Drosophila melanogaster: one gene and its partners. The protein of the gene in region 1 interacts with the protein of each later gene in a pairwise test. Each region holds a gene or a part of one and is shown in the gene's direction. Other genes may lie near its edges. The genes, in order: Cln7, CG13675 and stas.

What was found.
Region 2: the proteins of Cln7 (region 1) and CG13675 interact in a two-hybrid assay, tested with the Drosophila melanogaster proteins (one large-scale study listed by BioGRID).
Region 3: the proteins of Cln7 (region 1) and stas interact in a two-hybrid assay, tested with the Drosophila melanogaster proteins (one large-scale study listed by BioGRID).

The regions. Positions count from the first base shown.
Region 1 is NT_037436.4:7,343,192-7,346,946, reverse strand, and holds the start of Cln7 (Cln7), read left to right. Parts: upstream 1-1,763; 5' UTR 1,764-1,817; intron 1,818-2,562; exon of another isoform or gene 2,563-2,855; intron 2,856-3,001; 5' UTR 3,002-3,087; coding exon 3,088-3,279; intron 3,280-3,336; coding exon 3,337-3,755. Other genes in the region: CG14834 (uncharacterized protein), read left to right, coding at 1-1,125.
Region 2 is NT_037436.4:8,162,496-8,166,250, reverse strand, and holds the start of CG13675 (uncharacterized protein), read left to right. Parts: upstream 1-1,798; 5' UTR 1,799-1,890; coding exon 1,891-2,031; intron 2,032-3,755.
Region 3 is NC_004354.4:17,626,065-17,629,819, reverse strand, and holds the start of stas (stasimon), read left to right. Parts: upstream 1-1,924; 5' UTR 1,925-2,369; coding exon 2,370-2,391; intron 2,392-2,579; coding exon 2,580-2,880; intron 2,881-3,755. Other genes in the region: CG8326 (uncharacterized protein), read left to right, coding at 397-479, 549-1,464. UniProt on the Drosophila melanogaster protein: Required in cholinergic neurons, but not in motor neurons, for normal neurotransmitter release by motor neurons. Involved in muscle growth.

The DNA.
Region 1 (3,755 bases):
ACAACCAAACCGCCATCGACATTGGCCACATCCACGAAAGCTAGTCGCAATGTGAATCCCCTGACGGAGTCGAAGCTCGAGAAGAATTGCAAGGCGCTGTGTGAGCATTGCGGCTGTTTGGGCTTCTACTGCGGCGAGGAGTGCCTGTGCGAGTGTAATGACGACCAATCCGATACTGAGTGCATTCGCACCATGCAGATGAATGCCAAGACGTTGAATCTACCATTCGAAATCGTCATCCAGGGACCGAGCAGCAATCGCTTTGTGCGCAACGCACAGCAGTTCGAGCAGAAGCGAGATCTGGTGGCCAGGAGCGCCAGCACTTCAATGCAGTCGCCTCGAAATCGTCGCTCAAACATAACCATCTACAAGCCCTCCACAAAGTTGGTCATTCAACGTACGGCCAATGGCTTAGAAACGCCATCCAAGGCTTCGGAGCAGATAAGGCACAAGAGGTCCGTCGATCACCTGGAGTGGTTCAATGACTTTGCCAGTTCCTTGGTGCGTCCCTCGCCACTGGGCACTAGAGCCCAGAAGCAGCAGCGTGCATCAGCCAAGCCATCGGCATTCAAGCGTCAGGCTGAGCTGGAGGAGCCGGCTCGTCGGGAACCATGGTTCCTGGAGCAGTCAGCTTCGCGACTGACTCGCCCCGCTCCACTTAAGAAGGATGCACTCTCGCGGAAGAACAAGAAGAGTCCTTTGTTCCGAAAGAGCGCCAAGAGCAAGGCGTCCAAGGAGCAGTCGCGCAAGCAACCGGAGCGAGAGATTCGGCCACTCCGCGATGCCTTGCAGGTGGTGGAGCGGATACCCAAGGTGCTTCAAGATACGGTCAGTCATCTGTCCTCCGATCCACGCACTGGGGATGTCTTTAGCCTGAATATTAGAAACGAGGATGTGCCGCAGAAAAAGGATCGCCAGCCTGAGGATCGTGTGCCACGCAGGCCTAGCGCCACCTTCCGTGGTTTCCGGCGCAATGAGATCATCCCCGAAGCCGTCACCCTGGCTGCCCCAATGGACCTTGCCCCACGAGCTCCACTTCCCGGCCAGCGTCCAGGTGGACTCCTGCTGCCCTGGCTGAGGCAGCGGCGACTGATGCGTTTGCAGCAGGCACAGGGAAATCTGTAGACCCAACATACCCAATTTACTTTCACTTTTATTATTATAATCATTTGTTGTATATTTATAAGGCATTTTGGTCTCTCAAAAATAAATATAAATTTGCACATTATAGTGTTCTGCAGTAGCAGCGAAGATAGAAGCGTTCGAAATTAAAGTATCTGAAGTAGTAAGATCTTTATGTACCTGTAACAATATGAAGGCGTTCTTAAAGATCGTTTTCCAATGAGTCATTATAGTATTCACACACGCAGGTAGAAGTTTGGTAGGTTAGACAGGTTTCTATAGAACTCCATTCTTCAGTTTCCCTATTATTTCAATTGGATCTCGAATCGAATCTCAAAGATACATCTATTCTACTGATGATCTAGTATAATAATGATAATTTGAAGAAGGAGTATTGGTGTTACATGGATTGTGGATTGATAACAAGTTACTATACTATGCTTAGGAATATTTTGCCTGAATAGAAAACCCTTGCGATCTATCTTACAGATGCCATAGATTTCGGAGTATCTAAGTAGCATACTTTCGGGCGCGGGTGCTATCTGCCGTTGGCTCCTCTCTCTCTTCGGGCAGCTCCATCACGCTCTGTGGCGACGCGTCGTCCGATTTGTTGGCAACAGGCGCTGCCGCGTCAGTTCAGTTCAGTCCGTCGCGTTCGTTCATCTCCAGTGGTCGTCGCTGTTCCGCTGCAACAGGTAGTTAAAAAGACATAGCCCGATTGGTAAAAGGTGCATTACCCGCTGGAAGCCCCACAAATAGGATGCGCGCGGTAGGGGGGTGCCCTTGAGTTCTAGATGCACAGAAAGATACATGCACGCAGATACAGATACAGATACAGATATAGCCATTGGCAGAGGGAGAAAAGCGCTTTCTTTGCGTTTGGTTAAATATTACAAAAATCGAGTGAGAGGAAGCGGGAGAGCGAGAGTGAGACAAAGAAAGAGTAATTTAAAAAAAAACAAAGAGTGCATGTTTCCATTTAATTTACATAGTTTTGCTTCAGTGTGTGACGAAAAACAAAATACAACTTAGTAAGCTAAGTAATTTGAAAATCAAAGCAAGGAGTGCAAAGGCAAAGTAGCTTAACGAAAAAAACAATAGGCAGCCAAAGATCAACGGTCGCTATCTCATATCTAGTATCTTGTATCTGAAAGATGTGTGTGTGTGTGTTTGGGTACTTCGAGAACGAGAATCTGGCGCTCAACTAAAAAAAAAAAGAAAAAAAAAAAACCAACTGCATCAATTGGCAATTGGTATAATCAATTAGAAATTGATTTGCGACGGAGTGATCTTCAACCAGTGATGATTTGATTGATGTAGGAAGTGGACAAGTCTGATTGATATGGCTAATCGCTGCACTTGTTGCACTATCGAAAACTAAAGTTATAACAAAATGTTTTTATTTCGTACCCTGTACTGGGGCGAATCAATTTCTTTTGCTCTGATAAATGAAATCATGTAATAAACTGACGTTCTGTACGAACCTTATCATGCCATATAAACAAAAACAATGGCATACTCACAGTGATAGTGGCTCTTACTAAAGAAAAACGACATACAGACACCCGCACATGGCAACGAATAACTACAAACAGCTTTATTTCGGCACCGATTGCCTTTATCTTCCGCAATTTGTGTGATAAGTTCAGCAAACTGTTTTCCATATCTGTGGTTTTTTCGGAGGAGGATAATCACGCGACGTCTGGCAGATAATCCACTCCATCCATATTCAAGTAATTGAAGGCACCGCCGATTAGAGACATACTCTACTCTGAATCATTAATAGTTACAAGACTTTAAAAGCGTGTCTAACAACTGACACATCGATTCACAAAAAGCTCCATAAAGAAAAAAAAAACTCATTCGAATCCATTTACAGAATGACTCAGTGGCGGTGAAATCCAGCAAACACACATCCATCGCAGCCAACCAACCCATCAAACATCACAGCCAAGCAAACCAATTATGGAGTTTGCCCGCCGAGTTTCCGCTCGCTTTGAAACCAAAAGACTGCCGGAGGATGTGGACGATGGCCTGGAGACGCTGGAGGAGTACAAGCAGCGCTGGCGCTCCGTCCGCATCATCTACTTTACGATGTTTCTGATGGCGCTTGGCTTCAGCATCATACTCACAGGCATTTGGCCCTACCTCAACAAGGTGCGTACCCATTTTGGTCACGCTATCCAGCTGCTTTTCAATCTCATCTCTCTTCAGCTAGATCCCGATGCGGGCAAGGAGTTTATGGGACTGATTGTGGCCGCCAATCCGCTGGGACAAATGATCTTCAGTCCGATCTTTGGGTGGTGGGGCAACAAGCTGGGCAAGATTCGTCTGCCACTGCTGCTATCGCTGTCTCTATTCACGCTGGCCAGTGGCATATACTCCTCGCTGGAACTGCGTCCGGACAATGTGAAGTACTGGATGCTCTCCTCGCGGTTCCTCATCGGTGTCAGCTCGGCGAATATTGCCCTGTGCCGCTCCTATTTGTCCGCTGCGACACGAATCAGCGAACGCACACATGCCGTTGCAATGGTTTCGCTGGCACAGGTCCTTGGATTCATCATTGGTCCAACTCTGCAGGCGGCAGTCACACCGCTGGGAGATCAGGGACACGTCTGGCTGTGGGGCAAGAT
Region 2 (3,755 bases), 820 kb from region 1:
TAGTCCTTTGATGAAAACTATATCATAAAACATTTACCCTTTCAAAGGAACTATGTTAAAAATGATGTGCTTGCATTTTTGTTTCTATACAATTATAATTAAAAAGTTGTAGATAGTTGCAATATGTAATATAAATATTAAAAAATTAAAATTTTGATTTTTAATTCCATATAAAAACAGTTTATTATTGCATATTTTGGTAAAAATATTTTGTTTCCTATTTCAATCGATCAATTATGCATATTATTAATTTTTCCCATTAATGCCAATCGAGTTCGTTGCCTAAGTCTTTCGTTTATCAGGCGCTAATGAACGAAAATTTCGCACTAAGCGCTACAATTAAATGGAGTCGCTATGAAGTTAGCCAAGTGGTATCACAAATAAGCCGAAATTTGCACCAATTTTTCGCAGCTTTGCGACAGAGCCAGGCAAACATCAACAAACCGCGAAAGCAAAACAAAAGCCGACCGCGCTTTTTTTTGTGTATGTTGTCCAATAAAAAAATCCCCCGCACTCATGAATGAGAGAATAACTGCGATTTGAAGAGCCGACCAGCCGAGCGAGGCATCAATAGACACGATGATTTAGTTTTTCCAGCCTCGTCTCTGTGGCGATGATGTTGCTCTTTGGTAACTCCACCGATGACGAAGTGGATTTAGCCGATGGCAGCCTCGCTCATCTGCAGAGAGTCCAACGAGCCAGCGCTCTGCTCTTGAGTATAAAACTAAAATTGATGCGAATTTTTTTACAACTTTTGCATCAACTTCAAACGCGGCAACACGTGCAGAGCCCCAGAGCTTGCTCCTCCGTTCGAAACGAAGTGAGTCCCCGATTCTTGAAGATACGATCCGAAACGATATACGGCTCCATCGGATCTGTAATAAATTGCGGCGTGTGTTTTATTAGCGCGGCAAAGTGCGTGGCATTCAAACGGTGCTGAGAGTTGAGCAATCAATTACGAAAATTAGTTCCCAGATGCTCAGTGAACATTAAGCAAACGACAAAACATCCTTAAGAACGGATTAACACTATCAGCTATAGTAGTTGAAAGGATAAGGAACTTTAATTAAATATGGTTTAATAATTCAAAAAAGGAAGTGCACCTGAACATAAAAAACATAAAAAGATTATTTAAGAAATGACATTTATAGGTTTAGGAACCTTCATAGGAAGTTTATATAACGATTGCACTTTGAATATCTAGTGGATTTAGTACTCTTTTAACAAAAGATCTATGTTGAAGACCAAAATGTTCAGTAAATATTAGATACTTGTTAATTATAACTTAACATAAAAAAATAAATATATTTCACATCAAAACTAAGTTTCTATTACATTTTTAACAATGCCAAAAGGTAAAGAGATTGAAAAGATAGCCACTTTATGTTAATCTATATAAAACGTGTACTGAAATAACCAAATTACGACGAACAATGTGTTCAACAAGAATCCAATGCAATATCGTTAGCCCAGACTTAAACGATCCGAGTTATTATCAATTAAGATCCATTAGAAGCACACAATCCGCGGGCACAAAAAGTGAATGCAACCGGCAGCAGCTGCAACATCGCCGCCAGCAATACTCGATTGTCCATTAGCCATTGCGGTTGCCTCCCCTCGGCTGACTATAGTAAACATTTAGATATAAAATCTAATTATATGCCGCATAAACCAAGAAAGAGAAGATGTTTCCTTTCTAAAATTCCGACAAAAATTATGCTGCGCGCTGAAAATTAATATCAACAACCCACTCGACTCGTTTTCTTTCAATTTTCGTTTTGTATCTTTTAGATAGGAAAAAAATCACATTTAAATTACGGATTACGGATAACCAAAAAAAAAAAAAACATTACAACAAAAAAAAAACATATACAAAAAGCAGCAGACATCATGGCAGCCACAACAACAGCAGCGAACAAATCACCGCAGCAGCAGCAACACAGACGGCAGCAGCATCTTCAGTGGAGCGCCTGCATTATGATAGTCGTGTTCGGACTGTTTTCGATGCTGGCCGGGAACTGTGTCAATGGGGTAAGTGGAGTCGTCTTCTTCCCGATCCCAAAATCTGAAATCCGCAATCCGAAAGAGCAAAACGCCACTAAGCCCACTATGCCTTTTCAATCGTTTTTATGGTCCGCAATCATGGAAAATAGCTATTTTTCCATGGGCCTTTTATGAGCTTGGGAAATGGCTTATTGAATAATTTTGCCAACATTGAATTGACAACTTCATTGGCCGCGTCTGTTCCCATTTGTCCGCATCGTTGCTGTATCAACATGAGCAACTGCAGCACACAAAAAAGTGTCATCTGAGATAATTTCCTACATTCATTCCGAGTAAAAAGATTGCGCACACCATTTGTCTCTTGTTTGATAGGGATCTTAACCAGCAACAACAACGGCACGCCAGCAACAGCAAACTCCCACGCAAAGTTGCAGCCACGGCAACAGCAGCAGGAACAGCAACAACAGCAACACTAGCAACACCAGCAACAATTACAATTGTTGCCTCTTAAGCCCAAAAAAAAACGCTTGCGGCCCCTTTCACCCTTCTGGCCATCTTCTTTTCATGCAGCATGCCATTTTGCAAGACGAGGCCAAACAGCCAGAAGAAGTTGCAGAAGATTCGGGGCTGCCAAGGGGGAAGAGTGGCTAACACACGATGCAGACAACCTGTCTGCCAAAGTGTTAGACAACTTCTCACGTCTTAGCCAGAAACACACAGAGAAAAAGTGAACCCAAAGCTGCCTGAAAACAGGGGACGCCTCTTTCTAAAAAGGTGTCGTCATGAGTTTTTGCTTCCCTAATTTAACTACACTAACTATGGGACTAAGGAGGAACTAAAGTATATAACACCTTCAGCTTATCTTCTTGTTAGATCTACTATCAAACAATTTAAATAGTTTTTAGCAATTAGATTTATTCCTTTAATTAGTTGAAATGACAAATTTTGAAGTCCATCATAGTTAGGCGTAGTTAGCTTATACAAGTAAAAAGGGGAAACAACATTCGCTTTTCACCATTTGAGGCATTCTCCGCTGTGTTACATTATCAATTAGCCTTGGTGGCCCCTCAGCCGCGCGCTCGTCAAACAGAAATAAAAGGAAAATGCAGGGAAAATTAACCATTTTCCGGCTGTAACTGCCGTGGCCCATCTCGGCTGGCTTAGCGGCTTGGTATTTAAAGGAAAATGGTCTGGTCTCTGGCCAAAGGTTGAGAGTGGAGGGAAATAATTGATGGTGTGCGGGGCTTTTGTCGAGAGTGGCATCTTGTCCGCTTTTTGGGTTAGTAAGGCAATGGGCGGTCCATATAGTTTGTTGTTTAAGTCTTTTGTTGCCGCTGGAAATGCTAAAAGCCCCTGGAAAGTTATTAGCGTGAAAATTGCAAGTGATTGAGAAAAGTTAAGACGAAAAACGAGGCAGCTCGAATTTGCAATGCAATCGAAATGGGACTGGAGTGGAAGGTGCATCCTGGTTGCAATTGCACTCTGGAAAATAAGTGTTTGCTTGTTTAATAAGGTTTTTGTTGATGTAAATTTTTCTAAAGAAGATAGCAAAAATGGTAACGACTTCATTTGGTATTTTTTAACCAGGTGACTGAAAATATAACAACAATTACTTTTAAGTTAAAAATTTTGCACATAAAGCAATAACTATTTCGCCTTAAAGCTGCATAAGATCCTTGATTAAGATGTTTGCGAATTGGCCATAAAGTCCCAAACTTTTCCCATGAAGAAACCTCCTTGTGCTCGGCCAT
Region 3 (3,755 bases), on another chromosome or scaffold:
TATAAACTAATAAAACAATAAATTAAGACAAATTCGTGACTTTAAATATTTAATTTTACTGCAAACAGTAAATTTTACCACTTGCAATAAAATACTTTTCTCATTACAGCATATAAATCTTTATTAAAAATGTATATTATAAAATAGGGGAATATGAAGACTACTTAATACAATACATAGTGTAAAATACATTTATATATTTAATCTAATATATATTTAACTTTAATATTTCATTTGTAATTCTGGGCGCCAATGGTTTGAGTCCAAGCTTTAATCGATTTGGTATATTTATGGTTTGTTTTGGTATTTGTCAGCATGCATCGCGCTTAGTATTTTAACCCATGCTGTCGATACCACGAGTTTGTTTTACAAAAATTGAACCAAAACCCAAAATAAATGGCTCGGAAACGAAAGATTCCCGTGCGCAAGCACCACGGCGTCCGTGATCCCCTCAAGCAGCTGGAACAGAAGGAGAAGAAGTTTGTTCATAGTGGCAAGTCAGTCGAAAAAGGCAGCTAAACTAATATCTGCACCATTTCACATTTCAGACTTTCCAAAGTAACGAACAATCCGCCTGTGAAAAAGGATGAGCAGCAGGTGTCCTTTAAGTTCCGTCAGTTTCAGCAGCTTGCCAACGCCACCAAATCGGGCAAGAAGCTAAGATTGGGCGAAATTGGACGGGAGGATAAGCCCAAATCCTCTCCAGGATCCAAGCCTGGCAGTAGTTCCTCCTCAAAGGAAACGCGTAACATCAAGCAGTTCGCCAACGAAACGGACGAGGATTATCTGCGCCGAGTGAATCGCATGACCAATGCATCCGTACGGGAAGCCCACTACGAGGCCAAGTATGGTGTGAACGTGATCAGAAACCCCAAAACCGGGGAGATTACTGTCCAAAAGAGGCCGAAAAACGAGATCGACGAGCTGCTCAAGCAGAAGCAAAAGGAGCAACGGCTGGCGGGCAAAAGGGGTCGCAAAAAGGTTCAAGTCGTACACAAGCCCATGGATGCGAAGACCAGTCGCGAATTGGTGAAGAGGGCCTACAAGGAGGCCCAGCAAGAGGTTGATACCGAGGAGAAGCAGAATGCCGGGCCAACAGAATTCAAACAGGATGCTGTGGCATTTGGTGAGATCGTCCATGCCCCACCTTCCCTCAAAATCCTGCCGCGCAAAGCGGAAAAAAGTGAAACCGTGCCGCGTCCAGGACGCAAAGCCAATCTCCTTCTAAAGTCCATGCTGAATCCCGACCAGGGTCAGTCAAATCGTGGGCCGGAGGACGACGACAGCAGTCGACTAAAGCTGGCTGCCCAATCTAAGAGCGCCTTCAAAGCACCCACCAAGGCCCAGATGAAGGGCAAGCGGAAAGATCTGCCCTTGGCTACGAGGTCAATGCTTGAAACCGAGCGCAGCAAAATGGTTCAGCTATACCGTCAGCTCAAAAACAAGACAACAGCAGATTCCTAACAGATTCTAGACTAGATACCAACGTACTTTTTTTTTTACATGAAAACAAGTTAACCTAATCCCTTAAGTTTCGTGAATGCGTTTGCTACCCACTGAAGGTCGTAGTTTCATTATAGAATGTTAAATATATTGATGAGATTTTTATTAAATCTATTTTCATACAAAATAAAAAGTGCACTGTTTAATTCCACTATTTCTATCAGTATTTCATGGAGGTGGTAATTAATATGGAGTCTTTTGGCAAAAAGAAAAAGGGCACTATTATGTTGATATTTATAGATACAAAAAAAGTACTTCACTTGCTTATGCAGACACTCACATTTTTTTATTTACGTATAACATTAAAAAATATAAATAAAATTTAGAGAAACTAAAAAGTGGCGCTAAATATGACAGTATGACCAGATTTTATTAGAAACCCACGTTCAGTTTTGTGCGGTAGCTGTGTACACGCTTGGACTTAATCAACACTGCGCCTTCGGCCACACTGGTCGTGACGGAAATTTCTGAAATTAATTTATTTTAAATTGACTTTTAAGCGTGATCGTTCGCCGAAAAAGTCGGCTAAAGTGAAAAGCAATAGAAAAAATTTAAAAAAATTGCTATTAGCGCAGTAGTCAACTACAATTACTCTAGTTAACGCAGTTTTAGCCAACTTCCTATTTTTTTTATATTGATTAAATTCATTGTTGTAGACACACGCACATACACATACGCATAGGCACGCGGATAGAGAGAAGAACAACAAATTGTGACTGGCGCGCAAATAGGCACACAAATAGCATTAACAATTGATAAATAGCCTAGACGCTAAATGAGTCAATCGTGAATTAAAATCGGATATAGAAGGCTTATTAAATTTTCCTTCTTCAACTCGGGCTTACGTACATCGTGTCAAAGCCACAATGTCTTACTGCAGTGGTGTGGGTGAGTGTGCTGTTTTAGTTGTTTTTACTTATCAGCTGAGCGAAGGAACGGTGATTAACCCGCAGCTAGTGCGCAGCCCGTGAAGCCAAAAACGACTATTAACCCTTAGTCCGTGCATTCTGTTCACCACCACCACTTCTGCTTTGGAATGCATATTACATCTGCATGTCTCTGTTTTTTTTTTCTAGCCATTTCCGCTGACGAGGGGATTACAATGCGCAATGGCAGGGCAAAGGCGCTCCAGGAACACTCCCCGGATCAGGTGGCTACTCCACTGTTGCCACAGGTGCCGCCACAGGAGCAACAAGATCTTAATCCACAGCAACAACAGCAGCAGCAGCAACAACAACAGGCCACTCCGCAAAAGCAGGCCATGTCCGCAGACGAGAAGAAGGCCACCAAGAAGTCCCTGGTCATCGTAGCGGGCATTTTTGTGGCCAGCTTGGTCACCATGTGCTATGTGTACGCCATATTCCCCGAGCTCAACGCGTAAGTGGGTCTTTCTGGTGCTAAAGCGCCACAAATGTGTGTCCCCTGCGCATTCGTGCACCTGTAAGGTGTTAAGTGGCCTCCATGTGTGTGTGTGTGTATGCTTAGCTTGTCTCGCTTGATTTGCGAGCAGAGATGTCGACCAATGATCCGCTTAAAATAGCTAGGCTACATCCAACTATGATTAGATATGCTAGGTAGTCATTTACCTAATGCTAGTTATCTCCATTTCGCTTCTAAAACAATATTTTATGTTTAAATATCATAGATATTACATTTGTAGGATGTAAAACTCTTATTGCAAATACTTATTATTGGCTAGATCAGACATAACTATTTGTATGTAGTGAGAAAAGGGCCATTTAATTGTCCAAATATTTACTATAACAGCCATGTTAAATAAGTAACTTAACTCAAATGTCACGCTTTGCATAAGAAAAACTTTCTGCACACGATTATTATTATCTTTAAACTTTACCTAAAGCGGATTGTTATTTGATAGTCTGGTTCTGTGAGTGAGTAAACTTATTTTGTTTAAAGTTCAAGACGTTTGTGTACATATACTTCTATCAATTTGAATTCATCAGAATTTGATTTGCATGGAATCAGCAAGTCAGAGAACAATCTTTGTTTTTTTTTTGTCAAATTTGATCAGCAAACGTAACGTGTTGAAAACTATAAGTGCAGATCCCTCTAATCTTTTTCAAAGTCCCTTGGCAGACCCATTATTCTTATTGATAATGCTGTGAAATTTTACTTATCTATTTTGTTGTTCTTTTTTGTGTTCGTGCCTTTTCACTGCATTGGCATACAGTGATTATAAAGTAATTGAAATAGTAACCAAATCATGATACCTTTTACGGCATTATAAAAAC